5 separate regions of the Mus musculus genome follow, and regions 2, 3, 4 and 5 are each reported to be linked to region 1. Evidence: microRNA targets listed by miRTarBase, many of them from high-throughput screens and not tested one by one. Region 1 holds a microRNA gene; each other region holds the end of a gene's coding sequence.

Region 1 (4,000 bases):
TTTTCTCTTTTGTAAATGTTATAGAACACTCAGACAACAATCAAGCTTTTCCAGGAGTGCTGCCCTCACTCTACTGACAGAGTTGTTCTTATTGGAGGAAAACCTGATAGGGTTGTAGAATGCATCAAGATCATCCTTGACCTTATATCTGAGGTATCTTTGGGATATTTTTATTTCATTCAGTTTCATCTAACTACCAGAAATAAGACAGTATTCACACCATTAATTTTGACATCTCCCTGCAAGTTTTTTATTGCCTCCTTTAATATAGTGCCTTTGGTCCTTACTCAAAGGTCCCTGTAGTGCCATGTTACCCACTTCTTACAGAGATATCTGGGGTAATGATCCTTCTGTCTCTGACCCACATCCACCTCCCCGCCCCCCGGTCAGTATGTTAGAAATCCTTTCCATCATTGCTTCATTGTGTCCCTGCCTCTGTTACCTTTTGAGTTAATAATGGTTGAGATGGGTTAATTGATAGGACCAGAGCTATTTTTCTTCAGGCTTTAAGGTGCTGTGTTTCTGTTTTTAGTCTCCCATCAAAGGACGTGCACAACCTTATGATCCCAACTTTTATGATGAGACCTATGATTATGGTGGTTTTACAATGATGTTTGATGACCGCCGAGGACGACCTGTGGGATTCCCCATGAGGGGAAGAGGTGGTTTTGACAGAATGCCTCCTGGTCGGGGTGGGCGTCCCATGCCTCCTTCTAGAAGAGATTATGATGATATGAGCCCTCGTCGAGGACCTCCACCACCACCACCTGGTCGAGGTGGCCGGGGTGGCAGCAGAGCCCGGAATCTGCCTCTTCCTCCTCCACCACCACCCAGAGGGGGGTAAGTTTTTATCCAAACATTAACATTAATAAAAGAGGCTGCACTTAGCAGTGTGTGTGTGTGGGGGGGTGATTTTAATGTGACCATGTAAACATTGCAACATGTGCTTGCAGAGATCTAATGGCTTATGACAGAAGAGGAAGGCCTGGAGACCGCTATGATGGCATGGTAAGAATTTTGATTTATAAGGGCGGCATGTGTGTTTTCAGAGACCTTATAACCAAACATTTGTGTGAGACTGTAGTACTAAGAGCTTTTTTAAAATTGAAATTATTTTCACAGCCCTCTAAAAGTTTGGTATTTATGTATGTAATACAGGTTGGGTTCAGTGCTGATGAAACTTGGGATTCTGCAATTGACACATGGAGCCCATCAGAATGGCAAATGGCTTATGAACCACAGGTTGAGTATCAATAATGTTAATAATGTACATATTGGTAATTTACCTTGACTGTCCATAATAATTGGTCTCCCCTCCCTACCCCTGTAATTTCTTGATTCAGTTTATTTCCTGGATAAACTGGGTATGGGTGGTATGGGAGGACTTTGCTTTTCTAAGCTCTGTGATATTTTAGAAATATTAAGTAATTTTTTTTCTTTTGTTTTTAGGGTGGTTCTGGATATGGTAAGTTTCTTCTTTTTGAAATCAAACATTATTTCAATCTTATTTTTATGTGAACTTGCTGCTCATTATTTAAATCAGACTATTCTTATGCAGGGGGCCGTGGCTCATATGGTGATCTTGGCGGACCTATTATCACTACACAAGTAACTATTCCCAAAGATGTAAGTATTTTTAATTTAGAGTATTTTTAATTCGGGGAATTTACTTACTTGTATTGGTTGCTGCTTCTTGGACAAAGACTTCCAGTTTAGGATTGAGATAATGTTTAAGAACTTAATGGAGGGGGTATTTTGAACCTTAGATCAAATGATACTTAGTGACAAAAAGAAGACAGTTTGGGGTTCTTAAAATACACATATGTAAAATTTATTTCAGGAATTTAAGACTGACGTTCTAAATAAATTACTATAAAGTTATTACATTTTGTCATTGATAAAAGGGAGTAAAATTTCTTTCAAGTCATCATAAACACTTACAATCTTTTCAGTTGGCTGGATCTATTATTGGCAAAGGTGGTCAGCGGATTAAACAAATTCGTCATGAATCTGGAGCATCAATCAAAATTGATGAACCTTTAGAAGGATCTGAAGATCGGATCATTACCATTACAGGAACACAGGACCAGATACAGAACGCACAGTATTTGCTGCAGAACAGGTCAGTTGACCCTTAGCTTTATGTTAGTGTACACATACTAAAACCTTTAAAAAGCTTTTCTTCCCAATTGATTCTTCTTTTAGAAACCATGGTGTTTCCGTCACTTGGGGAATCTAACTTCTAAATATTCTAATTAATAGCTCTGCCTTAATTTTCTTCTGTTTTCTTACTAAAATGAAGACATTCAATACTAATCTTGCTGGAAGAAGCCTTAACCAAGCAAACTTCTCATTTCTCTGGTGAAAACTGCTGCCAAAACCACCACTTGTAATAATTTATACAGAGCCTGTAGAAAATGTAGAAGAGACATTGGATGTTGGCCTAGTTCTGTGTGGAAGACTAGTGATTTTGTTGTTTTTAGATAACTAAAACGACAACAAATCACAGTCTGCCATATGGCACAGGCCACCTCTACAGGACAGATAATGATGGTGCTGTCAAACGCAGCATTTCACACCTTCCTCATGTTCCTTTGTCTTTCCTACCAAGTATTAACAGCTTCCAGTTTCATTTTCTTAACCCTGCACTACTACTGTCTATTAACATTTTCTTGAGTTTTACATTGCTTTAATTTATAGTTGCTATTGCTCTTTAAAAGTTCTTCTAATTGTAATGGACATGTTTATCATTTTAATTTATCATTGAAATTGTCTTAATGTTGATTAAGATGTTTTGAACAAAAATTCTAATTCGTACTTTTTTTTTCTTTTCTTTTATAGTGTGAAGCAGTATGCAGATGTTGAAGGATTCTAATGCAAGATATTTTTTCTTTTTTATAGTGTGAAGCAGTATTCTGGAAAGTTTTTCTAAGACTAGTGAAGAACTGAAGGAGTCCTGCATCTTTTTTTTTTTATCTGCTTCTGTTTAAAAAGCCAACATTCCTCTGCTTCATAGGTGTTCTGCATTTGAGGTGTAGTGAAATCTTTGCTGTTCACCAGATGTAATGTTTTAGTTCCTTACAAACAGGGTTGGGGGGAGGGCATGCAAAAACTAACATTGAAATTTTGAAACAGCAGCAGAGTGAGTGACTTTTATTTTTTGTTCATTGTTGGTGGTTTTAAAAAAAATTCCCCCCATGTAATTATTGTGAACACCTTACTTTGTGGTCACTGTAACATTGGGGGGTGGGACAGGGAGGAAAGTAATAGTCCACATGTCCCTGGCATTTGTTCAGAGCAGTGTGCAGAATGTAATGCTCTTTTGTAAGAAACGTTTTATGATTTTTAAAATAAATTTAGTGAATCTATTTTTGGTGGTCTTTTTTTTTTTTAAGACAATTTCAAATGGTGGTTGAATTTTCCAGCCCACCCCTAAACTAAACACTAAGTTTGATTTTCAGCAGCTCCTCTGTTGGATATAAGTGCACCTCTTGGACATAGACAAAATACATTGGCAAACTCAGTTTGGGTGACTTCTTAATGGTTGGAAAGACTTGGCTTGATAAATTTCCATCACATATTCATGCTTATAATAAGCTTGGGATTTTGTTTGTTTTTGCAAATGTTTGCCACTACTTTTCAACAGTTTTCTGTTAGTTGTGGAGAACTGCGGTGGGGAGCAATACTACAAGAGTTACGCATCTTAAGTATATGCCAGAAGCCTGATGGGCAATGAGCTTTATTAACCAGAGTAAACTTGGTTATGGAAGTGGCTGATGCTGAATAAATCCTGGTTATTTTTGTTAGATAATTTCTCACCTATAGACTTAAAGCTGTCAACCTGCTAGTGTCTTGTTAGTTGAACTTTGTAAAAATATATATATATACTTGTTTTTCCATTGTATGCACAATGAAAGAAAAAAGATGTACCATTTCTCTGTTGTGTGTTGAATTATGTAGGAAATGTTTGTGAACGATTCGAAAAAAATGGAAAAAGTTC
Region 2 (6,720 bases), not on the chromosome of region 1:
AGGAGATCCAAGAAGGCAAAAGTCACCAGAACCAGCATGAGGCACACTTTGTGGTGGAGCTGTGCCAGTACCTCCTGTGCCAGGAGTACCTGCCCTCCCAGATCACCATCCTCACCACCTACACTGGGCAGCTCTTCTGTTTGCGCAAACTCATGCCTGTCAAGACGTTTGCTGGCATCAAGGTCCATGTGGTGGACAAGTACCAAGGGGAAGAGAATGACATCATTCTCCTCTCACTGGTGCGGAGCAACCAAGAGGGCAAGGTGGGCTTCCTGCAGATCCCCAACCGCATCTGCGTAGCCTTGTCCCGGGCCAAGAAGGGGATGTACTGCATTGGGAACATGCAGATGCTTGCCAAGGTGCCCTTGTGGAGCAGGATCATCCATACCCTTCGAGAGAACAACCAGATAGGCCCGTCCCTCCGCCTCTGTTGCCAGAACCACCCTGAGACCCACACCCTTGTATCCAAAGCTTCTGACTTCCAGAAAGTACCGGAAGGAGGCTGCAGCCGGCCCTGTGAGTTCCGGTTGGCCTGTGGTCATGTGTGCACACGTGCCTGCCATCCATATGACTCCTCCCACAAGGAGTTCCAGTGCATGAAGCCATGCCAGAAAGTCCTCTGCCAGGATGGGCACCGGTGCCCAAATGTCTGCTTCCAAGAGTGTCAGCCTTGTCAGGTGAAAGTGCCCAAAATCATTCTGAAGTGTGGTCACAAACAGATGGTCCCTTGTTCAATGTCAGAGTCAGAGTTTTGTTGCCAGGAGCCTTGCTCCAAGATACTAAGATGTGGTCACAGATGCAGCCATCTCTGTGGTGAGGATTGTGTGCGGCTGTGTTCAGAAAGGGTCACCGTGGAACTTAAATGTGGGCACAGTCAACTGGTTAAGTGTGGCAATGTGGAAGATATAAAATATGGTCTGCCAGTCAAGTGTACCACCAAGTGTGACACTACTCTAGATTGCGGCCATCCCTGCCCAGGCTCCTGTCACAGCTGTTTTGAAGGGCGCTTCCATGAGCGCTGTCAACAGCCATGTAAGCGCCTGCTCATCTGCTCACACAAGTGCCAGGAGCCCTGCACTGGTGAGTGCCCACCCTGCCAGCGAACATGTCAGAACCGCTGTGTCCACAGCCAGTGCAAGAAGAAGTGTGGGGAGCTGTGCAGCCCCTGCGTGGAGCCCTGCGTCTGGCGCTGCCAGCACTACCAGTGCACCAAACTCTGCTCAGAGCCCTGCAACCGGCCCCCATGCTACGTGCCTTGTACCAAGCTGCTGGCTTGTGGCCACCCTTGCATCGGTCTGTGTGGGGAGCCATGTCCCAAGAAGTGCCGTGTCTGCCAACCAGATGAAGTCACCCAAATCTTTTTTGGCTTTGAGGATGAGCCTGATGCCCGCTTTGTGCAGCTAGAAGACTGCAGCCACATCTTTGAAGTGCAAGCCTTGGACCGCTTCATGAATGAGCAGAAGGATGATGAAGTTGCCATCAAGTTGAAAGTCTGCCCCATCTGTCAGGTACCCATCCGCAAAAACCTGAGGTATGGAACCAGCATCAAACAGCGGCTGGAAGAGATCGAGATTGTCAAGGAGAAGATCCAGGGCTCTGCAGGGGAGATTTCAACCAGCCAGGAACAACTTAAGGCCCTGCTGAAGAGCAAGACCCTCTTCCATCAGCTGCGTCCTGAAGAATTCCTAATACTTCAAGAGAAGCTGGCCCAGAAAAACCTGTCAGTGAAGGACCTGGGCCTGGTGGAGAATTCTATCCGCTTCTATGACCACTTGGCCAACCTGGAGGGGTCACTGGAGAAGGTGCATTGTGGAGAACAGCAGAGCGTGAGGACTCGACTTGAGCAGGTCCACGAGTGGCTGGCCAAGAAGCGCCTGAGCTTCAGCAGCCAGGAACTGAGTGACCTCCAGAGTGAAATCCAGAGGCTCACCTATTTGGTGAACCTCCTGATGCGCTGCAAGATGGCCGAGAAGGTGAAAGGCAGCATAGCAGAAGAGGTCTCCAGCATCCGGAACATTCTTGAAAAGACAAGTAAGTTCACCCAGGAAGATGAACAGCTTGTGCAGAAAAAGATGGATGCTCTGAAAACCACCCTTCCCTGCTCTGGCTTGGGCATCTCAGATGAGGAACGAGTGCAGATTGTCACTGCCATGGGTGTTCCTCGTGGGCATTGGTTCAAGTGCCCCAATGGCCACATCTATGTAATTACTGAGTGTGGGGGCGCCATGCAAAGGAGTACCTGTCCCGAGTGTCAGGAGGTGATCGGTGGGGAGAATCACACTCTAGAGAGGAGCAACCACCTGGCCTCTGAGATGGATGGAGCCCAGCACCCTGCCTGGTCGAACACAGCCAACAACTTCATGAACTTTGAGGAGATCCACAGGATGATGTAGAAGATGGCACCTCAAGGCCTTTTGCCCTGCCACCTCAGAGCCAGGGTTGGCTCCTCCATGGAGGAACCAGTTTATTAGTGTCCTTTAGTCTTCGCACTTGTCTAAGGATCCACTTTTAGGGCTTGCCCACATGTGATTCTATATGTACCCTGCGCTAGAGTAAGCACTTTACCCCCAGCACTGAGCAGAGCCCACAGTTCTCAGCTCCTCGACTGTAGCAAGTAGGACTGACTCCTGGGAGCTTCCGGCCTCCACCCGGGGATATTAGGGTGATTGGGTCCTGGCATGGCCAGCACTTCTGCGCGTGCCCAGGGTGCACTGCTTCTCATGTCCAGGCCCTAACTTGCATACTACCATTGTAATAACAGCAACCCAGAGAGAGCTTTAGGAACCACTTTACCTTCAAGGAGCACAAGAACCCAGGCACCCTACTCCTTGGGCTCCTGCCCTCCTGGAGATGGAGGCCTGTGACAGGCACTTCAACTCTCCATGGCCCAGTTATATACTCACTGTCCCCAGTGGGGCGGGGCTTTCACAGCAGACACAAGCTGAGTGACCCCTGCACCCTCGTCAAACTTGCACTCAGATAGCAGGGGTGGATGTGTCTCTCTGCAGGAGAGGTTCTGTGGTGGTGGTGGTGTCAGCAGGTTCAGTGTCAGCAGCACCTCCTGTGAGTCTTTATCCAGGCACCCTCCCTTGCAGCCTTTGCCTGGGTAGGGTTAGCATGCCAGCAGCTTCTGCAGGCCCCGACTCCAGGCCTACTGCCTGCATCTGCATCTCTTTCCATGTTCCTTAGAACAGATTTAGGCATCTCAGGTCCTTTCTAATGTTGTCTAGGAAAGCCCCTTTCTTATTGTATGCATTTCCTTTTTTTGTCTTTACTATGCACTTTAACCTATAAAGCCAATTAATAAAAACAATGATTGAAAAAAGCCTGTCATCTCTTATCTGTGCTTGCTTTGTTGCTGTATTGATAACTGATGCACCTAAGGTTTCAGCTGTGTCCAACAACCATCACCATCCTAGACCCATGGTTTGTTTCTCTTCCTAACTTTGATTAGCAATTGTGGGTAGGGCACAGCCTATGGTGAGGCATGTCATTTTTGGTAGTGGAGGTCATTTAACTGATGAGCCAAATTTTACCCATGGTAACATTCTCTAAGTACAGCAAATGTCTCCTGAGTCCCGAGACTACACTGCTTGCTGTTCCTAGCACATTCACTGTGCTTGACCATGCGGTGGGCATTGGTGTCAGGACACTAGGGAGGGGCTGCGTTTCTCCTTCCACTGCCTGGGTCCCCAAGATGGAGCCCCGGTCAGTCTTGCCTTTGTTGACTAAGACTTCTCACCGGCCCCATCTTTTAACATGGAGATCTTCCCACCAAAGGCAGAGCCAGGTCTGACCCACAGCCCAGCAGCAGGTGAGCTTTGACTTAACACAGAGCCCTGAGCTGGCAGCTGTGAGCAGGGCATGCAGCTGGAGAACAGGCCCTTTGCAAACGGAGGTAAGGCAGTCTAAACTCACCAGATAGACTACTTGCATTTAATATGTGTAGGGAAGCCAGTCAGGAAGGGAACCCTGGCACAGCAGTGCGTACCTGTAACCCCAACAATCTCTACAGTACCACAAATTGGAGGCCTTAACAGCAGGCTCCAAGCTAGCCTGTGCTACACAGTGAGATGCTCACATTTTTAAAAAGGCATGCATGCATAAATGACTAACACTAAGAAACAGCTCCTAGATACTAACCCAACAGATTCACAGACAACAGGCTTGTTCAAGAAGGTCTGCTGTTCTTAAAGATTTTATTTATTTTATGTATGTGAGTACACTGTAGCTGTCTTCAGACCCATTAGAAGAGGGCATCGGATCCCATTATAGATGGTTATAAGCCACCATGTGGTCGCTGAGAATTGAACTCAGGACCTCTGGAAGAGCAGTCTGAGCCATCTCTCCAGCCCCAGGTTTGGGGTTTTATATATGGAAAAAAACCAGACCAAGACAAGATGACTTCCCACAGGGAAGGGATATAAAATTGTCCCACCAACTTCTTCACACCACTGAGACTACTTCTTTCTCTTGTACCTATTAAGGAAATCAATATTATAAGTACTGCCTCCCACCCAGCCTGCCTCTCCGCCCATGGGTACTGCCTCTGCCCTCTACAGTGCAACATCACCTGGACTTAGATTTGAAGTTCCCTCTCCTCTGGCGGGGCAGACCTGACTGTTTCCTCTCTTCAAAGGAAGGGCTGTAAGACAGATGAAGAATGAGATGGGTAGGCTGTGGGACACGTGAGGGATGTCACCCATATTGGCTTCACAGGCCAGCCCAGGTGGGATGGGTACCCTGAGGGGAGTGCAGTGCCTGGGATTCAGTCTCCTGTGGGCTTGTGCAGAACAATGTGCAGTTCTGGAAGCCAGACACCAATTTCACATCAGTGGGCAGAGGCTTTTTGAAGTTGTCTGGATGAGGGGGCTTATGGAAGCACACTAAGTTCTGCTCTGCTCATCATTACAGCATTGGGAAGCGCTAGGCAAGAGGCAGAGTGAGCGAGCATGGACAAGGGTGCTTTCGTGTGAGCGGCACTTTAAACCTACCCAGCCCGATACTGTTTCAGGGCCTTCTTGCTTGTGTTGGTGAGTTCTTCATCAAACACAGACTTCTGCTGCTGCTTCTGCTTTTTAGCTATACACAGAGAAAAATGGGTCAGAGGCTACTGAGTTCCCTGACACTGAGGGAGAGAATTCCAGAATCCATGGAGGGCCAGGTTCAAGGATACATCCCAGTTCCTCCAAAGCTTGATCACTGCCATCCCTGCCAGCTCTTGCCATGGTGCGAGCCTCAGAATGGACACCCTATCACTTACCAGGGCCTGTAGGCTCGTCCTCAGGCATTGCCCGTGCTCGCTTGGTTCTGCGATTCCTCTTGGCCAGCCGCTCTGCAAACATCTGTGCCTTGAGGATTTCAAACTGGGACCTCTCCTCTGCCTGGGGGCAGAGTGAGGGATGAGCACAGAACACACCAGTGCTTCATGGGACCCTACTCCACAGGGAGGCCACTCACCGTCATCTCCCCCTTTTTCTTGGCATCCTTCATAAACTTCTTCCTTTTCTTCTTTCCTCTTAAGGCCAAGTCAAACTCCTGTAGAGCCTTAGCAACTAGAGTGAGGACAGAGTGTGGAATTTAGGGGCTATTTGATTATGTCATTAAAGCTTAAAATGAGAAGGAACTAGAGGTGACAGCTCACTGAGTAAAGTACCCTTCAGGGAAGACTGAGGGCCTGGGCAGGACTGCTCCCTTAATGGTTGCTGGGAGAAGGGGAATTGAGGTTTTCAGTGGTGCAGCCACTGGCAAGGTGACCCTGTTCAAGAGAATCATCCCACTCATGCTCATGTCAGAGACTTCACTAAATGCAGCAGCCTTGAAAAGAGACTTCAAGTCAGGAAGGAGCTTGCTGGAAAGACACTCAGCACCAAAGGTGAGGGTGGTGGGGAAGGGACAGGTGGTGTGTGTGTGTGTGTGTGTGTGTGTGTGTGTGTGTGTGATGAGAGAGAGAGAGAGAGAGAGAGAGAGAGAGAGAGAGAGAGAGAGAGAAAGAGAGAGAGAGAGGGAGAGAGAGTGCCAAGTATACTAACACAATAAAACTATGATAAAAAGCCGGGCAGTGGTGGCGCACGCCTTTGATCCCAGCACTCGGGAGACAGAGGCAGGCGGATTTCTGAGTTCCAGCCCAGCCTGGTCTATAAAGTGAGTTCCAGGACAGCCAGGGCTACACAGACAAACCCTGTCTGGGAAAAAAAAAAAACCAAATAAACAAAAAACAAAAAACTATGATAAAATAAACATACAAAGTTTTAAAAGAGCTGAGGACTTGAATTTGATACCTAGAACCAACTTTTTAAAAAACTGGCTCCTTGACACAGGGTCTATGTACCCCTGGCTTACCTGGAACTCACAGAGATCCACCCACCTCTGCCACCATAGTATGAAGATAAAGGTGAACACAGGCACCTAGAACCAGGGGGGGGGGGGCAGGAAGAGGAGGAGGAGGAGAAGGAAAGGAAGGAAGGAAGGAAGGAAGGAAGGAAGGAAGGAAGGAAGGAAGGAAGAAAGGAGAAAGGAAAAGGAAAAGGAAAAGGAAAAGGAAAAGGAAAAGGAAAAGGAAAAGGAAAGGAAAGGGAAGGGAAGAGAAGAAAGAGGGAGTGTGGTGGTGGTCTTGTTTATAACCCAGTACTGGGGTGGCAGAAAAAGGCTGATCCTTAGGGTTGCCCGGCCAGCCAGACTAACCCATTTCCTGAGTTCTAGACCAATGAGACCCTGTCT
Region 3 (6,720 bases), not on the chromosome of region 1:
TCCAAAGGGGACAAACAGACAGATTGCACATCCTGTTGAAATCGGTCCTTTTATCCCCTCACTGTGTAATTCTGTCTGGACTAGAAGTTGTTGTATGTTGTATAGACCAAGCTGACCAGGAACTCACAGAGATCTACCTGCCTCTGCCTTTGGAGTGCTGGGATTAAAGGCATTGTCCACCATGCCCAACTTATCCTGTTACTTCTAAGGAAAGTTTCTTCCAGGGAAATTTTTTTTCTTTTTTTCTTTTTTGTCTTGGTGGCTCAAAGACAGACTCAGAACCAGTGCCTGGGAGCCGTTCTTCTGACCTCTCTCTTGTCTTTCCAGATCGAGATGGCACAGAAGCTGCTGAACTCCGACTTAGGCGAGCTCATCAGCAAGATGAAGCTGGCGCAGCAGTACGTCATGACCAGCCTGCAGCAGGAGTATAAGAAGCAGATGCTGACAGCTGCTCACGCCCTGGCTGTGGATGCCAAGAACCTACTTGATGTTATTGATCAAGCAAGACTGAAAATGCTAGGGCAGACACGGCCACACTGAGCCCCTGGCCATTGAACGTGGCTTTCTGCCCTTTGGGAGATCTTCTCTAGCATTCCACCAGCAGCGAGGAAGTAACCTTAGCCTCTGTAGCCCGTGCTCACGGCTCCAACTGAATGACAGCTAGCTGAAAGTCTCTCTTGTATAAGTTTCATCACTTATACATGGTTTTGATTTTGTTATTTTTCTAAATAGTGTTCAGAAAACTCTGGATCCAAAATGTGGCATTTTTCTGAGAATGAAGATTATACATTAAGAAGCTTTTAAAATATACTTGGTGTTCAAATTGGGATGTGTGTTCCTAGAAGTGGTAATTCATACTGACCATGACTTCAAGTTGGAAGAGAAATGTCTGAGGAGGGAGGGTTCCCTGAGACCATGGAGACTGGTTATCCTTCCTGCCAGAATTCCTATCCAGACTGTGTTGCAATATGCTAATCTCATTTATAGAGAAAGTGCATAAAAGCTATATTTTGAAGAATGAGTGGTTTCAAAAGAAAACTTCTGCCCTCCCTGTCTCCGCCTTCTCTCCTGTGGATACTGAAGCATTGGGTTGCGAACTATCTGTAGAACTGACAAAAACTTGCCTTTCCTCATCAGAATTCTGTGCCAGTTTTGTACCAGAGCACTCCCAACTGCATCAAGAAATTCCAGGACCAGCCCTGTTCTCCATTTTTATATAATTTATAAGAATAATTAAAGCCATGTTGACTCTTACAGCCACTGGAGCTAACTGACCTTCATTGCGTCTGTCTTCCCAGGGAGGACCCCGCAGGACAAACAGGGATGTGGTTTTCTTTAGATGTCCAGTTGGTATACCATGCATTCTGTTAGGTGATTTTGAGAGCATACCTTCCCTTTAGTTTGTTGGGGGATATAAATTATTCTCAGGAAGAATATAATAAATTGTACAGTTCCTCTGACCTATTAAAAAGGTGGCGCCGGGAAAGGTTGCATTGCCTTTTTTTTTTTTTTTTTTCTTTAATGGGGGAGGAAATTCTTTTCTTTCAAATCATTTAAAATTGTTCAGGGGATCTGTAAGAAATGGTCACTTACAGGAGTGCTCACAACTCACCAGTCTCTTCCTTTTTCTTGTATAAAGTGGAGGACTCCACCAGAGATAATCGCTCTGCATACCCTGACTTTCCATTCTGTCAGGGTCTTAGATGTTCCTTGCTTGATTTTATTTTATTTTTTAAGGAGGTTTGTTTTTTGTGTATTTTTGTTGGGAGAGGGTTGTTTGTTTGTTTGTTTGTTTTTATTTTTGTTTTTGTTTTCCCTGAGATATTGTCTCACTATATAGCTCTAGCTGTCCTGGAACTGACTCTGTAGACCAGGCTGGCCTTAAACTCATAGAGAACCACCTGCTTCTGCCTCCCAAATGTTGGATTCAAGATCCGCACACTATGCCTGGCTTGGTTTGTTTTGTAGAAATTTATTATTACCCTTTGGTTCGTGTGTGTGTGTGTGTGTGTGTGTGTGTGTGTGTGTGTGTGTGAGAGAGAGAGAGAGAGAGAGAGAGAGAGAAAGAGAGAGAGAGAGAGAAAGAGAGAGGGAGGGAGGGAGGAGGGAGAGAGATGCTCATACAGAATCAACTTTTAGGACTCCGTTCTCTCCATCTACTAAGGCATCTACTAAGGTTTCCAAGGATTGAACTCGGGTAAGGCTGTGTACCAAGTGCTTTTACCTGCTGTACTAACTCACCAGCTCCAGTTTGGTCTTTTGAGACAAGGTTTCACTTTGTACCCCAGGCTAGCCTAGAACTCATGACAATCCTCATGCTAAGCCTCTCCAGTGTATAAGTAATAGGCATGAGTCACTATGTCTTGCTTTTATTCTGTCTCGATTCAAAAATGTAGACAGAGGAGCCCCTAGCACTTGGAAAGCAGAAGCAAGCAGATCACTGAGTTCAAGACCATCCTGGTCTACATAGGAAGTTCTAGGCCAACCAATGCTATATAATTGGACCTTGTCTAGAAAATTAAGTTGGGGTGGGGGGTGACCAGCTTGTCTAGTGAAGTCATGATTCTTTTTTTCTTTTTTTTTTTTTTAGAATTGTTTATTTTATGTATGTGAGTACACTGTAGCTGTCTTCAGACACACCAGAAGAGGGCATCAGATTCCATTACAGATGGTTGTGAGCCACCATGTGATTGCTGGGATTTGAACTCAGGACCTTCGCAAGAGCAGTCGGTGCTCTTAACCACTGAGCCATCTCTCCAGCCTGAAGTCATGATTCTTAGAGGATAACCTAAAACTGCCACTTTATTAAATGAATATAGTCTCTATTCTAAGCATTTTCCCAGATATATAGATTAATCCTTACCCTTCATCAAGGAAATTTCTCTATGCGACAATAGACAGAGACCATCACACACACACACACACCTGATCAAAGTGCAGAGTTGGGGCAGGGAGGATAGTCCCAACAGATAAATATAATAGAAGCCCTGCATGAAAGGCTCAGACTCAGATCACTACAGAAGAGGGTGCAGAAAGACTGAGAGCCAGAGCAGGGATTTCTCGTGGGGTTGTGTCTCCTAGGGATGTCAGAGAAGCTACACACATGAAGTCACTAACATGGCTACCTGAGCAAGGATGGCATCAGTGGACTTACCAACATGGATAGAGGGAAGACCACAAGGCCTCAACTCTAAACAGAGAATTTCAGGTAACCAAGGAATGCTGAGAGCAGGAGAAATAGTCCTGCAAGGAGAAAATATTCCTGCAAGTTAACTTAAAAACTGAACATGCCAGGCAGTGGTGGCACACACCTTTAATCCCAGCACTTGGGAGGCAGAGGCAGGCGGATTTCTGAGTTCGAGACCAGCCTGGTCTACAGAGTGAGTTCCAGGACAGCCAAGGCTATACAGAGAAACCCTGTCTCAAAAAACAAAAACAAAAAAACTGAACGCCTGCACGTGTTATACTTGTATATTTAAGTATAGACACACACGCATGCACGCACGCACACACACAGTCAGCCATTAAGGAAAAGCCATAAATTTGAGAAAGAATTCCCTTTGGATGTCTTCAGTATCTGATAATAGTCTGTCTATCCAGACTAGGAAGCTGTCTGTACATGCATCACTTTAAGGGAATTGCTAGGCTTTTCCTGATCTGAGCCACAAAGCCAGACCAAACAAAACTGGGCCTGGGAAAAGGCAGCTAGTGACACAGCCCCGGGGAGTGTGGAGCAAATGCTCAGGAAAACATGGAACTCCCAAGAGCAAACCCTTGTTCCTTTCTGGACATATGGCATTTAGGTCATCTGGAAAACGGACTAGGAATTGCCAGTCTTTTGCTCTGTTACTTCTGCGGAGTCCATTCTTTAAGACATCAATCATGAGCTAGGGGTGAGTCTCCATAGGGATGTTTATATAGCATGCATAAAAGAGGGTGTCCTTCACTTCATCCCTCAGAGGCTAGACTCTGTCCTTCTGACCTTCAATGCTCTAGATGCTGCCACATAAGCCAAGGAAACAAGAGTTGAGCTGAGCTCTCGGGCTGCAGCAGGGTGAGGGTTCACCACATTTAGCACCTTTGCCTCATTCCAACTTCCACTGCTCCCTTGATTTTCTTCTAACAGTCACAGGTGAGTATCAAACCATATACCCTGAAGAGAGACACCTTGGCTGTGAGATCCGGGAGGCAGGTGACTGGCCAGAGGACAGATGTGGAACAAGGAGCTGGCAGTGCCCTGCGGAAGCCCCTCAAAACCCTCACCAAATGGTTCTGGATTCTGAGCTGTATGGACAGGTGGAAAGTTCATCCGACCCTCAAGTCTTCAGATGAGTCTCCCTGATCCCGCCTGCCTGCCTGCCTGCCAAGACAGCAGCGACCTATGAAGGCAAACCACTTGCCTTGCCACCCAGTCAAGAGAAAGGAAAGCTCAAGTTGGCGAGCTTTCTAATTTGTATTCTGGACTTCACTGCCTTCCTGAATGGTGGCTGTGTTGTTTTGTTTGCTGACTTGTTCTTATGCAATGAGGGTTTTCCCCTTCTTTTTCTTAGCCTTCATTAGCACTTTTTAACCTTCAGAGTGGTGAAGCTTACAGATGTGAGCTAACCATACCTAGCTATAGGGCATTCCTTCTCCCCCCCTCCTACTCCTCCTCACCCACCTCCTTCTACACCTCCTCTCCCCCCTCCTCTTCTTCCTCTTTCTCCCCCTGCCTACTCTTTGTCCCCCTCCTCCTCTTTTTCTTCTTCTTCCTTTGATATAACAAAATAAAATATAAAATAAAACGAAAAACTATCACATCTGAGTTGTAGAAGATAAACCAGCAGCCCAAGAGAAGGCACAAGAATCAGACCCACTCATTTGCACACTCAGGAATTCCATAAAAACCACTAATCTGGAAGCCATAATGTATACATAGAAGACCTGACACAGACACGTACAGGCCCAGTGCATGCTACCTCAGTCTCTCTGAGCTCATATGAGCTTCACTTACGTTGATGAGGCCTTGTTTTCTTGGTTATCTTCCATTCCCTCTGGCTCTTATACTCTCATCTCCTTTCATTGAGTTTCCTGAGTCCTGAGGGGAAGGATTTGATGGAACACTTGACTCTAAATGAGATTGTTTTGAAGGTCTCACTCCCCAGTGTCTGTCTCTGGGTCTCCATTTTTGTTCCCATCTGCTGCAGGAGAAAGCTCTAATGATGGCTGAGCAAGAAAGGCACTTGTATCTGAGTATAGCTGTGTCACTATGACTCATTTCATTGCTTTGTGTTTTGTTTTAGAACACTAGTAGTTGGTTTTATCCTAGGTCTCTGAGCTATCTGGTCACAGGTTCTTGGCTACCCAAGCAGTGTTGAGTATGGTTCCATGTTAAGTGGGCCTTAAGTCAAATTAGATATTGGTTAGTAACTCCCACAAGCTTTGTGCCACCATTGCCCTAGCATGTCTTGTGATCACAGAGTTTATGGCTGACTTGGTGATTACGTTTTTCTTTTGGTGGTATGCAGAGTACCAGAAACACTAGAACGGGGTAAAGGCTCTATGTAGACACCAACTTGACTTCTCTATGTTCAATGAGGTGTCTAGGTGTTGTCATCAACACCTTGCTGGCAGTTTGTAGAGAGCAACCTATAGTCTTAGCAATAGCCTGAATTGTTTGGAAATTCCCATGGTAGCCCTTTAGCCAGCAACTCAATTGGATATAAGCAGTCCCAGTACTGGAAGCTTCATTTGGTGGCCAGTTGGGGCTCTGTCTCCCCCATTTTTTGGCAATTTCATTTAGATCATCTTTGTGTATGTATATGTGTTAGGAATCTTATACTGTACTAGGTTTCCATACTATCCTTCAAATGGCCTCAATTTATGTATATTTCCACCTGTGTTCCTCCTCATGTCCATCTCCTCTCCTGCTACCCACTTGATCCTCCTATTCCAGCCTCCCACCAATCCATCCATCCATCCATCCATCCATTTATCCATTCATCCATCCATCCATTCATCCATCCATCCATCCATCCATCCATTTATCCATAACTATTATATTTCTCTGTCCTAATGAGATCTACTTGTCCCCTTAGTTCCTTACTCTATACCTAACTTCTGTGGTTCTATAGATTGTATCTTAGTTATTATTGAACAGCTAATATTTACATATAAGTGAATACATACCATATTTATTTGGGTCTGCGTTATCTCAGGATTTTTTTTTCTAGTTCCATCCGTTTGCCAGCAAATTTTATGATGTTATTTTTTAATGGCTAAGTAATATTGCATTTTGTAAATGTACCACATTTTTTACCCATTCTTCTATTAAGGAATATTTAGGTTGTTTCCAATTTTTTGCTTTTATGAATAGAGCAATAATGATTATAGTTGAGCAAGTGTCTTGTGAGGTAGGATGAAGCATCCTTTGGGAATATGCCCAAGAGTGGTATAGCTGGATCATGAGGTAGATCAATTCTCATTTTGAGAAACCACCACACTGATTTCCATAGTGGCTATACAAGTTTGCACTCCTACCAGGAATGGATAAATGTTCCCCATATTCCACATCTTTGCCACCATGAGTTGTCACTTGTTTGCTTGCCTGCCTGCTTTTTTTTTTTTTTTTTTTTTTTTTCTGAGACAGGCCTTCTCTGTATAGTCCTTGCTATACTCTGCATCTTTGTCAGCATGAGCTGTCGCTGTGTGTGTGTGTGTGTGTGTGTGTGTGTGTGTGTG
Region 4 (6,720 bases), not on the chromosome of region 1:
CACACACACACACTCACATGTATAAAATAACATGTGAGTTGGAAGGCAGAGGATCTCTGAGTTTGCGGCCAGCCTGGTCTACAGAATGAGTTTCAGGACAGCCAGGGCTGCACAGAGAAACCTTATTGCAAGGGGGGGGGAGGGTGGATAACAAGTAAAATCATGGGTTTTTTTAAAATGTAATTATATGTGTATGAGTGTAAAAATATGCAGAGAAGACACTTCAATGGGTGGTTTGAAGATTTGACTGGTTATTTCAGGTCCTATAGTGGGCCCTTTGAGAAATTCCAAAAGAAAAAGATAAGGTCCCTGCTCATATCTAATGAAGGAAGGACAGAGTACAGAATGGTATATAAGTGCTAGAAGAAAGATTAAGAATACTATGACTGAAGAGATAGCTCAGAAGTTAAGAGTACGTACAACTCTTGCAGAGGACCCAGTTCCCAGCAGCCACATTGTGGCTCACAACCATCTGTAACTCCAGTTCCAGGGGATCTGATGCCCTCTTCTGGCCTCCAAGGGCACTAGGCACTCAGATGGTGCTCGTACATAAGTGCATGCAAAACAATACATACACATAAGTAAAAAATAAATCAAGAGAACTGAGAAGCCGTTTATATGGTAGAGGATTTGTTCAACCTCTTGGTGAAGCTGGAAATGCTGTAGTTTATCTTGGTGTCCGTAAAGATCTGGACATGGCAACACACACCTGTAATTCCAGGACTTAGAAACAGAAGGGTCAGGAGTTCCAAGCCAGGCCTCACCTCACCTACTACATAAGACCCTATCTCAAAATAGACAATAATTTTCTACAAAAAGGATAAGGATAGAGTGTAGCCTATCCTTAGCTAAAAAAGAAAGTGATAGGTGTCAATTATCAAAATTAGTAATTAAATTAGGGACAGAGAGATGGCTTAGTGGTTAAAAGCCCTTGTAGCTCTTACAGAGGATCTGGTTTGATTCCTAGCACCCATATGGTGGTGACTCACGACCTATGTAACTCTAGTCCCAGACCAACAGTGCCCTCTTCTGACCTTCCAGGGTACCAGCTATGCACATGATGCACAGACATCCATGGAGGTAAAACATTCATACACATAAGATATTGAAATAAATCTAAAATGAAAAGGCTTAATCGTTTAAAGTCCAGGTGTGGCAGAGCATACCTCTAGTAATCTGGAGGCAAGGTCAGGCAGGTATCTGTTTAAGGTCAGTGTGATCTGCATATCAATTTCTAGGCCAGCAAACTCCACTCAGTAGGACTTTGTCTTTAAAAAACAATTTTTTAAGCGAGCAATGGTGACGCACACCTTTAATCCCAGCACTTGAAAGGCAGAGGCAGGTGGATTTCTGAGTTCAAGGCCAACCTGGTCTACAGAGTGAGTTCCAGGACAGCCAGGGCTATACAGAGAAACCCTGTCTCGAAAAACCAAAAAAAGGGCTGGTGAGATGGCTCAGCAGATAGGAGCACTTGACCGCTCTTCCGAAGGTCCTGAGTTCAAATTCCAGCAACCACATGGTGGCTCACAACCACCCATAATGAGATCTGATGCCCTCTTCTGGCACATCTGAAGACAGCTACAGTGTACTTATGTATAATAATAAATAAATCTTAAAAAAGAAAAGCCAAAAAAAAATTTTTTTTTCCTCTTTCTGGGCCAAAATAGTATGTTCTGACATAGTTTAACAATTAAAACACAGGAAATATCTTTTCTCCCCAGCTTGAAAATAAGGAACTTCGAGAGTTACTGTCCATCAGCAGTGAATCTCTGCAGGTTGGAAAAGAAAGCTCTGTGGCTCCTGCCTCTCAGACCATCAAGTAACTGGACTTCCGAAGGCTGGCTACAGCTTGCCCGTCAGAGCGAGAAGCCGTGCCCTCCTCTCCTGCCGTGTCCAAGAGTCCTGCCGCAGACTTGACTTAGTGTTGGGTAGAGGTATGGGGTGGCAGTTTAGAATTGCCACTTGGTATTCATTGTCCACTAACTAGTTTGGGGTGTACTAGTGAAACTAGACAAGTCCCCCATTGCTGGGACAGAGATGACATTTGTCACTCTAGTCCGGAATCTCTATAAACTGTTACCTGCAGTTCAATGTTGTTTTTCACAGCTTGGAAACACTGAACACTTTTATTATAAGCCAGGATTTTATTTTATATAGGATTATAAAAATTCCTTCTAAGAGTTTTTCAAAGATTTAACTTTTTAAAAATACATATTTGGTGTAAACCTAGATTTTTTTTTTCTTCCACTTGTAAAAGTAGCATGACTTCAAAGAAGCAGATTGGCAGAGTCTCTGAGTGACGTCGCTCATCCATGGGGTTTGATCCTCTCCGGTGCTAGGAGTTGGCACTTTGTGGTCAGGTGTCTTTGCTCTTAATTTGAGAGAATCTATTAGTCCCCAGGAAATACGCTTGAAAACAAGTAAGCCGGGTTCGCGTTGCTCCTCCTCCTCCTCAAGGATCCACAGTCATTCAGAGAGTGCTGAGGAACTTGGGCCTGCCCCATCATGCACAGGGAGCTATTAGATGTACATGACTGTACATGTACATTGGACTTAAATGCCAAAAATAGCTTTTATTTATTTGACCAAGTAGTTTTCCATTCTGTCTGCCTAAGGAGTCTTCGGCTTAGGTAGTTGCCTTGTATGAGACATACACATACACACACACACACACACACACACACACACACACACACATACCTCACTCACAGGTTCCTAGCTCCTAGGCACTTTCATGGACACACAGCTGTGCTGTGCTGTGCTGTGCAGAGCAGCACCACTGGGATGGTTTAGACCGGCATCAGTACTTTGCTGTCTTTCCATCTGCTGGGTTTTCTCATGGAAGCATTTTATTACTCACAGAAAGTTACCACATTCCTGATGCCATGCATTCAGGCAATCAAGAACAACCTGAGATTCTAATAGCTCCCTGTCAGTTCCTTCTCATCTTGGTTTGCTCATATGTCAGGTTTATAAATAATTCCTTTTGCACTGTTTGCCCAGATGGACTTTGGTTTTTGTTCCCATGTTAACTTTCACTCCAGCTGCTCCCCTTGATGTTTCCCCTAAGGGCCCCAAGTGTGTACTCCACAAACCCATTCAGGGGTGGGTTCCTTTACCACTTGTCAGCTGTCACAGCAGGTCCCATCACAGTGAGAGCATTATCAGTCAGTCTATTTCAGCAGTGAGCATGGTGTCCCTTTCTTTATCTGCCTTCTGTTCCCGTAGCACTCACTACAAAGGTCTTTGCATCTAGCTTTCAGAGGAATCTCTCCATTGCAGTCCTGAGGGTAGAGCAAGCTTTCGGTGCCCTGTGTCGTATAAATTCTGCCTGGTGTTAGTGCTGTGAAGGCATTGCAGAGCTAGCACATTGAATGGAGAAAGAATGTTTCACACTTGTGTGAAGATGCTAATATCTCTTGCAATGGGTGGAAGTATTTAGTGTATAAAATTTTAGTATGAAATTATATTAACTAATAAAAACCTTTTTGAGAAGATTTGCTCATTTTACTGAGAAATGAGTCTAAGAAGTTGAGCTGGAAAAAAAAAGGAAGTTTAGCTGAGCAGTGGCGATGTACACCTGCAATCCCAGCACTTGGAAGGCAGAGGCACATCTCTTGAATTCGAGGACATGCAGGTTTACCTAGTGAGTCCCAGGAGACTACACAGGGAGACCCTGTCTTGAAAAAAGCAAAAAGAAGTATAGGAGATTTTTTTCACATATTCACATACATAGCAACCATGGCAAGTGTTCATGACATAGATGTCATAAGCAGCTTGCAATTATTCAATATATTCAGCAGTATAAACCTTTGAAAAGCACATTAACAACCTATTCATTGCAGAAGTCCTGAATGTATAATTTACCACTGAAGTCTATTTCCATGTTTCTTAAAATGCACCTAATGAAATAGAAATTTATGGATGGAATCTGGAATTTACATCTTAATAATCATTCCAGAAAACGGCAGTACCGGTTTAAGAACATGTCTGTTAGGGCTAGGAGATGGCTCAGCAGGTCTAAGTGCTTACCATGAAGTCAGATGGCCTGAGTTCAATTCCTCAGAACCCACATGAGGGAAGGAGAGAACCAACTTCTAAAAATTACCTTCTGACCTACAACACACAAACAGATAAATTGTGTATGATGTTCTGTGCAAATTATTTCACTAGGAGTTAAAAACAAACCGACTTTAAAATGAGAAGAGTGGTAAAGGGATATTACAGAGGGGTGGGATATAGCAGCGCTATTCCCCTCTATGCTGCCTGCCCGATAGCAGCAGATAAATTGGGCATGGTGGCACATGCCTGTAATCCCAGAATTTGGAGCAGAAGCAGGAAGAGCAGAAATCCAAGGTCATTCTTGGCTACATAGTAAATTCAAAACCAGCCTGGGCTACAAGAGACCCTGTCTCAAAAAACTAAACAAAATGTTGTGCAGATAATTTTGATGCAGTGTGTTACATCAGATGTAAGTGTAGGATACAGCACAGAAAGGGCTGTGTTATTTGAGAATCTAAAAGTTGACCAGGGAAGGGGGTGGGGGAGGGGTGGTGCTAGGAGAAAACATAGAAAACAGCTGCAGAATCGAAGTCCAGGGGGTCCTGCAATGGTTACTTCCTTATACTAAGGGGTTTTCTGTGTCAGCTGACACAGCATCCCCGCTTCAGTTCTTTACAGTTCCATACATACTAGAAGGTTCTAATTTGTCCAAAGTGGAGCCAAGAATCACACTCAGGCACTCTTCAGCACATTTCTTAAGGACCAAGTTAAGGCACCTTTAAATGCACATAACTGTGGAGTTCATGGATCTTGATCGGCAAAGTCAGTCAACAGGTTAATTAACAGGGTAAGAGAGACACTATGGCCTGTGTGTTGTGAATACCGTGACTTCTGTTTAGTTCACGCTGCTGCATGGTCCCTAGAATGCTGTGCCTGTGAGTGGTCCTCAGTGTGGAGGGAAGGGTGCATTTCTGCACAGGGTGCCTTTTTCCACGTTGGCTCCGTCTGTGATGCTGTTATCTTGTTATAGGCTACTGCTGTGTCAGATGTCATGCCCATGTGGAAGACAGGGAAAAAATAGAAAACTGCCTGCCCTACACTACAGACACATGGGGAAAGCAAACGTTTCCAGAAATTCTAATGGAGTTCTCTCCATATCTGCCTCACTTATTAAATAGACATGTCTAATTGCAAAGGAAGCTAGGTACACAGCCGTGCCAAATAAAATCAGTATCCTCTTAGCAAAGAGAAATCATACTGAGAAAACAGTAAGGCCTGATTGTTACAGTAAGGCATTTTACCGTAAATATAATTTTTAACAAATTAAAATTATTAGCTGCAGGGATGCCTACGTTGAGTCACTAAGAAAATGAGCTGTAGTGGACACTGTTATTTCTTTACTGACTGCTCAATGTCCTACCCATGCCTGGGTAAAGTTTCCCTGCCTAACGTGGCAGAGCCTCCCTCTTTCCTAAAGAATCTGGAAGTACCAGTTACCCAGTTTCCCAGCCACCTTGGCATCGAGGAAAGATTCAGCTGCTTTGAATTTCAAAGTTAGTGATATGGCAAAGCTGGGAGCCACACAGAAACCTCTGAACCTGGGGACCAGCAACACAGGCTGCTGCTGGGTTTGGCTCCATAGAAGAGCAGCAGAGCAGGTCTGGAGTGCTAGCAGGCAGCTGTGGAAGACCCAGTGTATGCAGTGGAGACTGGAGACTTGCTGCAAACATCCTTATAGCATTAGACGCAAACCTCTTAAGTCTCATTTCCTGGCTGCCCAAGAGATCCTGAGAAATATTTTTAATGAAATTAATAAAACCATTTTTGTTGAAATTAGCCTGAGTTGCCTATATCTAAGAAATCTGATCAGGAACAAATTTCTAAACAACCATGCACATATAAATGTTATCAGTGCTTATTTTTGCACTTAAATTTTTATGTAATATTGGGCATTTATAAAAGGATAAGATGCGCTGGGTGTGGTGGCACACGCCTTTAATCCCAGCACTCAGGAGGTAGAGGCAGGCGGATTTCTGAGTCGAGGCCAGCCTGGTCTACAGAGTGAGTTCCAGAACAGCCAGGGATACACAGAGAAACCCTGTCTCAAAAAAACCAAATAAAACAAAACAACCCCCCCCCCAAAAAAAAGGGATAAGATGGCAATGCAGGCACATTATCATGCATTCATTACCTAATTTAAGAACTCAGTTATTACCAGTGTGGGGAAAACACCTGCCTAGCATACACAAAGCCCTGGCTCAAACCTCAGGCACCACAAAAGCAAAACCCAAATATTACCAGTACTAGGCAGGCCACTTAGCCCACTTTTAATCCCAGCACTCTGGCTGGAGTTAGCAGCAGATAGATTTCTATGAGTTCAGAGATGAGCCTGATCTACATATTGAGTCCCAGAACAGTTAGGGTCATATAGTGAGACCCTGCCTCAAAAACAAACAAACAAAAAGGCATGCTTTAATCCCAGCAGGAGAGAGGCAGAGGCCCACCGATCTCTGAGTTCTAGCCTGGTCTACGGTGAAGGCAGTGGTGCTCATTTTTTTAAAATCCTGCTTTTATTTACCCCAGGGGCCCAAGGGTCCACACTTCTCAACAGAAGCACTTTCTAAGCAGTTATTTGAGGATGCTGTGAATACAACTTTGTTGCCTTCACCAGCGCTCCTCTCTCTTTAAAGTAAGATCTTTTGTGTGGTCAGGCCTGGT
Region 5 (6,720 bases), not on the chromosome of region 1:
CGTCAAGGGGCTTGGTGTCACCATTAGGAACTTCTTCCAGGGCTTACCAGTTGTGCGGCACCCTCTCCCTTACATCCTGTCCCTCATCCTGGGTCTTTCTATCATCATCCAGGTCAACTTCCTCAACAGGGCACTGGATATTTTCAACACCTCATTGGTCTTCCCCATCTACTACGTTTTCTTCACCACGGTGGTGGTGGCCTCCTCCATCGTCCTCTTCAAGGAGTGGTATACCATGTCTGCTGTGGACATTGTGGGCACCCTGTCTGGCTTCGTCACCATCATCCTGGGTGTTTTTATGCTTCACGCTTTCAAGGATTTGGACATCAACCAAATCAGCTTGCCCCACACGCACAAAAACCCAACTCCAGCTCCCGCCCCAGAGCCCACAGTCATTAAACTAGAAGACAAGAATGTCCTTGTAGATAACATAGAACTTGCCAGCACACCATCACCCCAACAGAAGCCCAAAGTATTTATGACCGATTCTTAAAGCCTGGAATGCATGAGTAAGAGGAGGCAGCCAATGGTCCAGCCTGACCTCTCAAGTTCACAACTACCTGGTTACTTTCAGCACATCTGTTGCCAAGGGCTAGTTTCTTTTTTTGAGATATTCATTTATACCTCACTGCTGTTCCTAGACGAAGAAGAAAAATCCCTACCCAGTAAGGTAGGGGCAGGACTTCCTGGAGATACAGCCTTGGTGACTAAATCCACAAGTCTCTGTTAGAACCAGCAAGTCCCCAGAGCCTCTCCCCTCTGGGTCCCTCAACACCACCATGTTGTTGGTAGAATTTGACCTGCTGAATGTAGCCCAGCTCAAGAACTTCCCTCAGCTATCGGTCATCGGGAACTCCTTCACACCAATTAGCCTGTCAGGCTGGACTTCTCAGTCCTTAGCCCGGGAATGGAGCTTGTGGGGGAGTGCAGAGCAATCTGCATGCCTCGTCATGCCAAGGTGTGTAGCACATACTAAGTAGCCTGGTGTTTCTTGTAGACAGAAGCAAGACCCCAGCTGACCTTCTTACTGTGAATACCACCTGATGTCTCAGGGAAGTTTCAACTGGCCCATTCTCCAAGCACTTGAGGTCACATCTTGTTGTCTGTGCCTCCAGTGGCAGGCACTACTATCCTTCCCTCTCTGCCCATCCCAAGATACCAGTCACTGACACGTGTAGGCTGTAGCCTTAGAACCAACAGCAGGGGATGCCTCCTAGTCCAGCTCCGCTGTTCAAACCCATGTTCACCTAGCAGCCTCTGGGAAGAGAACAGCACTGTGCTGTCATGCTGGAATTTAGCAGAATGCAATTTCTTTGCATCAAGAAATTGACTATGATATGACTTGGGGAAGAGGGGGAGAGTATAAGACACAATGTCATGGTTGTCTGAATGGAGTCATGGGCTCTATGGAAACCTGGACATAATGTTTGGCCTGACTCAGATTCGAGCAAGGACCAGACCTCTGGGGAAATTTCCTAGCTGTATCTAGTGGAATTGGATTAGAATCCCAATAATCAAATGGGAGTGCAGGCTTGACACAGCCTTGTTGGCCCAACTGGAACTGAGTTTATCTCCATTGACAACCTAGCTGCCCACACTGGAAACAGCATGCCATGAGTCCTCCACCATCACCTGCTCTTAGGGTCACTTTTGGTGACCTTACATTTGGCCAGAAGCAGTCAGAGAATAGCAGCTGGAGAGAGAGAGAGAGAGAGAGAGAGAGAGAGAGAGAGAGAGAGAGAGAGAGAGAGAGCCTTTTCTTCCAGTTCTTACAGCTGTGAAAGTGTAGACTTGACACAAGGAGCATAAGAGAGTGAAGTTAGGAGCCAGTTTGTGGGGAAGGGGAAACTTGATCTTCAGTGTACGTAGCACTGTCAAAATACGATCCTGTGTTCGAATCTGATCCCCTAAGTACAACCACACCCAGGTCAAACTGTTTCTGGCCTTGGACAAGCTCTTAGGGCAGATCAACACTCTGGGCCCTATACCTTCCCAATCCCCAGTATTTTCATGAATGTGGATTTCTGACTGTGACTGAAATCAATGCAACACACTGGATCTTGGGGGGGGGGTTAGTAAACTGAAGGTTCTGAGAACGTGGGCTCTGGGGTCAGTAATAAAGACTTCAGGGTGTGTTTACTTGACAAATGTCCTGACCTTCCATGTACACGGAGCAAATTCACTCCACTGGTTCCTCTCACATACTGGGATGCCAGTCCCTGATCTCCAAAGCAAAGCCCTCCTGTGTCTTCCAAGATCTGCCCTCACTCAAACAGGGAAGGTTGCTGTATTTCTTAGTACCATTCATGTAGAGGTGATGACCTTACTAGGAGCCAGGCATATGGCAAAAAGCATATGAAATACGAAGGATGATGCTTTCTTAGCATTTACATGAGGGTTCAATGAGATGACTATCTTAGGGTTTTATTGCTGTGAAGAGACACCATGACCATGGCAACTTTTATAAAGGAAAACATTTCATTGGAGCTGGCTTACAGTTCAGAGGTCTACTCTATTATCGTCATGGAGGGAAGCATGGCAGCACACAGGCAGGCCTGGTGCTAGAGAGGTATCTCAGGGTTCTACATCTGGACCCCCAAGCATCAGGAAGAGACACTGAGTCTGGCTTGAGCTTCTGAAACCTTAAAGCCCGCCCCCAGTGACACACTTGCTCTAACAAGGCCACATCCACTCCAACAAGGCCACACCTCCATTAATGCCTCTCCTTATGATTCTATGGGGGCCATTTTCATTCAGACCTACACAGTAAAACTCCTGTGGTTATTAATAATCTTAGAAAACCTCAAAACAGAGGCTGGGAGGAAATGGGTAAAAGTTGGTGAGAGACCAGCAGTCTCCACACAGACCTGGGAAATCTTAAGTGCACACAAGCTGGCCTCCCTGCACCTACCCACTCAGCCCGGGACCCACACTAAGTCTCTCCTCTTCATTAAAGCACACCCCCTAGTGAAGAGAGTTGGTCACAGAGTATCTCAGCTGTCTTCTAAAGTTAATAGTGTAGAAGAATGTTCTAGAATCTAAAAGATTATGAAAGCCTTTGGTAATCCAAGATTTAATGAAACCAGACTATCTTGAGCACAGGTACAAAGCAGGCAGCCCTGACTACTGGCCATGGGAAACCCCGGGGCATCACTGTGGCACAGGTCATGGCCGACTGGAAGGCTGTTGGTCTGTATGAGTCCTCTGAGACGTTCACATCACATGTCTTAAGTGGTCCTGGCAGTGGGATTACCGAAACAGTTCACACACAAAAGAGCCATCCAAACAGAGAACATTTCCTCATGACAATTTGTTTTAATTAAATACAAACAAGGAGAAAAAAATAACAACAACAACAAAAAACAAGGCACCATGGCCCATTCAAGTATTTTGCATAGATGTACAAATATTGTAAACAATCAATAGGAGGACATGAGAGGGGAGGACTACTTCCTGTGAACAATCTCCCAAATCAAAAGAAAATTCACATTTGCCCTGGATCCCAGACATAGACATATACAGTCATACAAGAGGATACTGGGTGCATGACTTTGGGGTGCTAGGCTCGGATTCTACAGAACCTCTCCCTAGCAGGCTTCCCTGGGACGGGGTACCTTTCCAGTTGGTGTTCCCTGGCTTGTGTGTGGAGGATTCCTTCGGGTCTGTTCATTACATGCATTTGACAAAATAACTAGCCTCCAATTTTAAGAATACAAGTCTCACCTCCACTTTGTCAAATAAGGAAGTGAATTGAGCCCAGGGGAGACACTGAAGGATTATTGCAGTGTTGCAGGGGGGCTATTGCAACAGAAGGAACTGTCGCGTTACAGAGAACACTCCGACACTAGCATCTACAGTGTCTTGGAGCAGGGGTAGAGAGGGGGTATTCTCTTCCTGGTGGAAGTCACCAAGGCTAGAAGGAACAGAAAGCAAGCAAGGAGTTGTAACTTGGACGGTATTAGCCCAGGCTATACCTCTTATAGAGATGGAGAGCTGAGGTTTACAGGTCAGGAATGGCTTTGCAGTTCTAAGGTTGGCAGGCAGCTAATCTAGCTCCAAAAAACATTTACAGCCTAGGCTGGAGGATGTAGCTCAGTTGTAGAGTGTTTGGCTATATACATATGAAGGGCTGTGTTTGAACCCAGGGCCACATAAAGCATGGTAGCACACACCCGCAGTCTGTACTCAGGAGTTCAAAGATCATCCTTGGTAAAGTGACTTAAAGGCCAATCTACGATACATGAGATCCTGTCTTCATTTTTGTTTTTCTAGAGGGTTTTTTTTTTCCTCTGTGTGGCCCTGGCAGTCTTGGAACTTCCTTTTTAGACCAGGCTAGCTTCAAACTCGAGATTCACCTGCCTATGCTGGGACTAAAGATGTATACCACTAAACGCAGCTACAAACCTTCCCTCAGCCCACCAGAGCCTTGGCTTTGACCTATTCTAACATCTTCTGACGTCTCTCTTCAGTGGCTGGGAACAGAGGTGCCTTAAACAGTTCTTGTTCTTGCTCACATTGTATGCATAAGAAAAGCGCTTTCATTCAGTCTTGGATGCCCTCACAGACTTGGTGTAGGAAGACCAAAGTGTTCTGTTGCAACTGCCCCTCCTCCTCATGTGGTAATATTCTTTCATCTCCTAAGTGACAATCCTGTGAGACAAACCCTGTCCTTGAAGTCTAGATACACCTGTATGGGACCCTTCACAAAGCAGATGGGAAGGGATTCCTGCCTGTGACAGCCTAGCTGGCCTCTGGAAACAAAGCCTTGAGTGAAGTTGTGTGTAGAGCAGCTGCCGACATTTCTACCAAGTTTAAAAAAACCCCGTCCTCTTACACTTCACAGTATAATGTCATGGGATGGAGGTGGTAGCAAAGTAATGAAAAAGAAAAAAACAGAAGTGATTACCAAAGAGCAAGGAAATGGGTCTTTTTCTGATATGGTTCAAGGGACAGAAAGTGGAGGGTTTCTAACTTTGTGGTGAGAATCGGGGTGGCCTGTAGTCACCGGCCACTTGGTAAAGCACACAAAAGAGAAACTGATATAGGACATGGACTGAGGCCTCAGAGAGTGTGAAGAGCACGGTCACCCTGAAAAGGAGAAAGGTGCTTTCCTGAGATCTTTCTACCCCAGGCCACGTCTGTCATAGCTCCCACATGTCTACAATCCCAAAGCTTACTCTGGGAAGAGATATAAGGAGGCCTCAGGTGGTAAAGGGGAAGTCAAACGCTTGCCTCTTCCTCTGGAGGGTTCCAAGAGCTAACAACTGCTTGCTGTTGGGGCGGGGAGGCCCCTAGAGAGCCCTCTGCAGTGCCATTAGCACCTTTCTGGGGGTGGAAGATGGCCTCTCAGAGGCCAGGCCCAGCAAATGTGTAAGAACTGTTCCAAATAGCGGAGCACCAAGCAAGAGAAGGTCCACCCCATCCCATTCCCACCTTCTCAGCATTTTCCATGACGATCACCTCGGGGCAGCAACCAGGAGAGACCCGATGAGGTGCGTGATAAAACTCTGGTTGAATAGAGTTTGGGGAACCCTGCCCAGATCTGGTTCACCATGGCTGTTGACATCGATCTGTTCAGAGTCACCAGTCCCCCCTCAGAGCTGACCACTAGGGCGGGGCTGGTGGCCCTGTGTATACAATACTATAGCCAGGATGCCAAACATGTCAGCCCCCCTCAGTACAACTGTGGCTGTCCTGGGGAACCTTACTTAGATATGAGTCAGAAATAAGGAGGAGGTCCCTTATTCTGCTTGAGGCCGTAAAACACAAGTACATGCAGAGCTGTCGGCCTGCCTGCATGTCTGTCTCTCTCATTGCCTCTGTCTCTTTCACACACACACACACACACACACACACACACACACACACACACACACACACATACACGCCCACTCGGCTCAACGCTCTTGAGATCCAGTGCAGAAAGTCCAGTGGCGACCCCATATGGCAGGATCCCGATTTGTAGGTCACCAGCATATGGTCATCAGCAAGTCAGGACTGCCATAGTTCACCACCAAAGCACCATAGGATAGGGATGCTGGAAAAGGAGAAGGTGACACATGGAACACTGGGGATGGATGAATGGATGGATGGATGGATGGATGGATGGATGGATGGGGATTCTAAATGTCCTTAGTGACCTTTGGCATAACGGCTCAGAGGGGACACAGGTTGACCACCCCACCCCCCTGCTGTCTATGCTACTTACAAATAGTACCTGTCTGAGTCAGAGTGACCCGTGTAAATATGGGAGTGGGAATGTGAAGAAAGGCAGGGGAGGGGAGCATGGCTTATCACATGCAGCCAGAGAGCCAGGAACAGGCACCTTGACCAAGCCCCTTGGGGTAGGGATGTAGCAGTAGCTTCCTCAGCAGCCTGGGATCCCAGAAGGAGGCCAATCAGTGACACTCGCGTGTGTTCCTGCCAGCATAGGACCAGGATGGGTACCTTCTCCAAGCTCCGCAGAGGAGGACCCCAGCTCAAGCCTTCCCTGAGCATCGCTGGTAGCTCTTGGCTAGTGGGCTGAGGGAGAACCTTTCCCACCCTCCTCGCCGTGCTTCCCTTCCCTCCCTGGGCTGTATATTGCACAGGACAAACACTTAGGAGCCATTGGATATGAGTCCCCCTGGGCCTCGGAGGAAGCAGGAGGCACTCGGGTAAGAAGGGAGATTCTGGGGATGAGGGACGTTCCAGAAGGCTGCCAAAGCTTCAGGATGGGTG

The links. Region 1 holds the annotated microRNA mmu-miR-7a-5p (UGGAAGACUAGUGAUUUUGUUGU, at 2,455-2,477, shown strand). A microRNA usually pairs through its seed, bases 2 to 8, with sites in the 3' UTR of a target mRNA and lowers its output. Matches are read on the target gene's strand: a 7mer-m8 pairs with bases 2 to 8, a 7mer-A1 pairs with bases 2 to 7 and ends in A, and an 8mer does both.
Region 2: miRTarBase lists Ddx27 as a target of mmu-miR-7a-5p. Seed matches in the 3' UTR shown: 7mer-A1 at 4,324-4,330.
Region 3: the mRNA of Ptk2 is a reported target of mmu-miR-7a-5p. Seed matches in the 3' UTR shown: 7mer-m8 at 1,289-1,295.
Region 4: the mRNA of Sike1 is a reported target of mmu-miR-7a-5p. Seed matches in the 3' UTR shown: 7mer-A1 at 2,241-2,247.
Region 5: the mRNA of Nipal4 is a reported target of mmu-miR-7a-5p. Seed matches in the 3' UTR shown: 7mer-A1 at 1,759-1,765 and 8mer at 2,247-2,254.

The regions. Positions count from the first base shown.
Region 1 is chr13:58,391,318-58,395,317 of GRCm38, reverse strand. Mir7-1 (microRNA 7-1) reads left to right here and starts at 2,432; the gene lies at 2,432-2,539. It overlaps Hnrnpk (heterogeneous nuclear ribonucleoprotein K), which reads left to right. Exons shown (of 16, transcript NM_025279.3): 9 at 25-153; 10 at 533-840; 11 at 954-1,008; 12 at 1,159-1,242; 13 at 1,450-1,465; 14 at 1,544-1,626; 15 at 1,953-2,122; 16 at 2,902-4,000. The coding sequence ends at 2,932.
Region 2 is chr2:167,032,398-167,039,117 of GRCm38, reverse strand. Ddx27 (DEAD box helicase 27) reads right to left here. Exons shown (of 21, transcript NM_153065.3): 17 at 5,461-5,555; 18 at 5,264-5,384; 19 at 4,995-5,082; 20 at 4,574-4,645; 21 at 4,173-4,479. The coding sequence ends at 4,461. Znfx1 (zinc finger, NFX1-type containing 1) reads left to right here. Exons shown (of 14, transcript NM_001033196.2): 14 at 1-3,325. The coding sequence ends at 2,393. Among named protein-coding and RNA genes, the nearest start is that of Ddx27, 20 kb to the right of the region's middle.
Region 3 is chr15:73,199,868-73,206,587 of GRCm38, reverse strand. It overlaps Ptk2 (PTK2 protein tyrosine kinase 2), which reads left to right. Exons shown (of 35, transcript NM_001358046.1): 35 at 328-1,483. The coding sequence ends at 540. Among named protein-coding and RNA genes, the nearest start is that of Ago2, 18 kb to the right of the region's middle.
Region 4 is chr3:102,999,987-103,006,706 of GRCm38, forward strand. It overlaps Sike1 (suppressor of IKBKE 1), which reads left to right. Exons shown (of 5, transcript NM_025679.3): 5 at 1,722-3,928. The coding sequence ends at 1,823. Among named protein-coding and RNA genes, the nearest start is that of Sike1, 7.6 kb to the left of the region's middle.
Region 5 is chr11:46,143,919-46,150,638 of GRCm38, reverse strand. It overlaps Nipal4 (NIPA-like domain containing 4), which reads left to right. Exons shown (of 6, transcript NM_172524.3): 6 at 1-2,484. The coding sequence ends at 493. Adam19 (a disintegrin and metallopeptidase domain 19 (meltrin beta)) reads right to left here. Exons shown (of 23, transcript NM_009616.4): 23 at 3,292-6,720. Among named protein-coding and RNA genes, the nearest start is that of Gm35624, 19 kb to the left of the region's middle.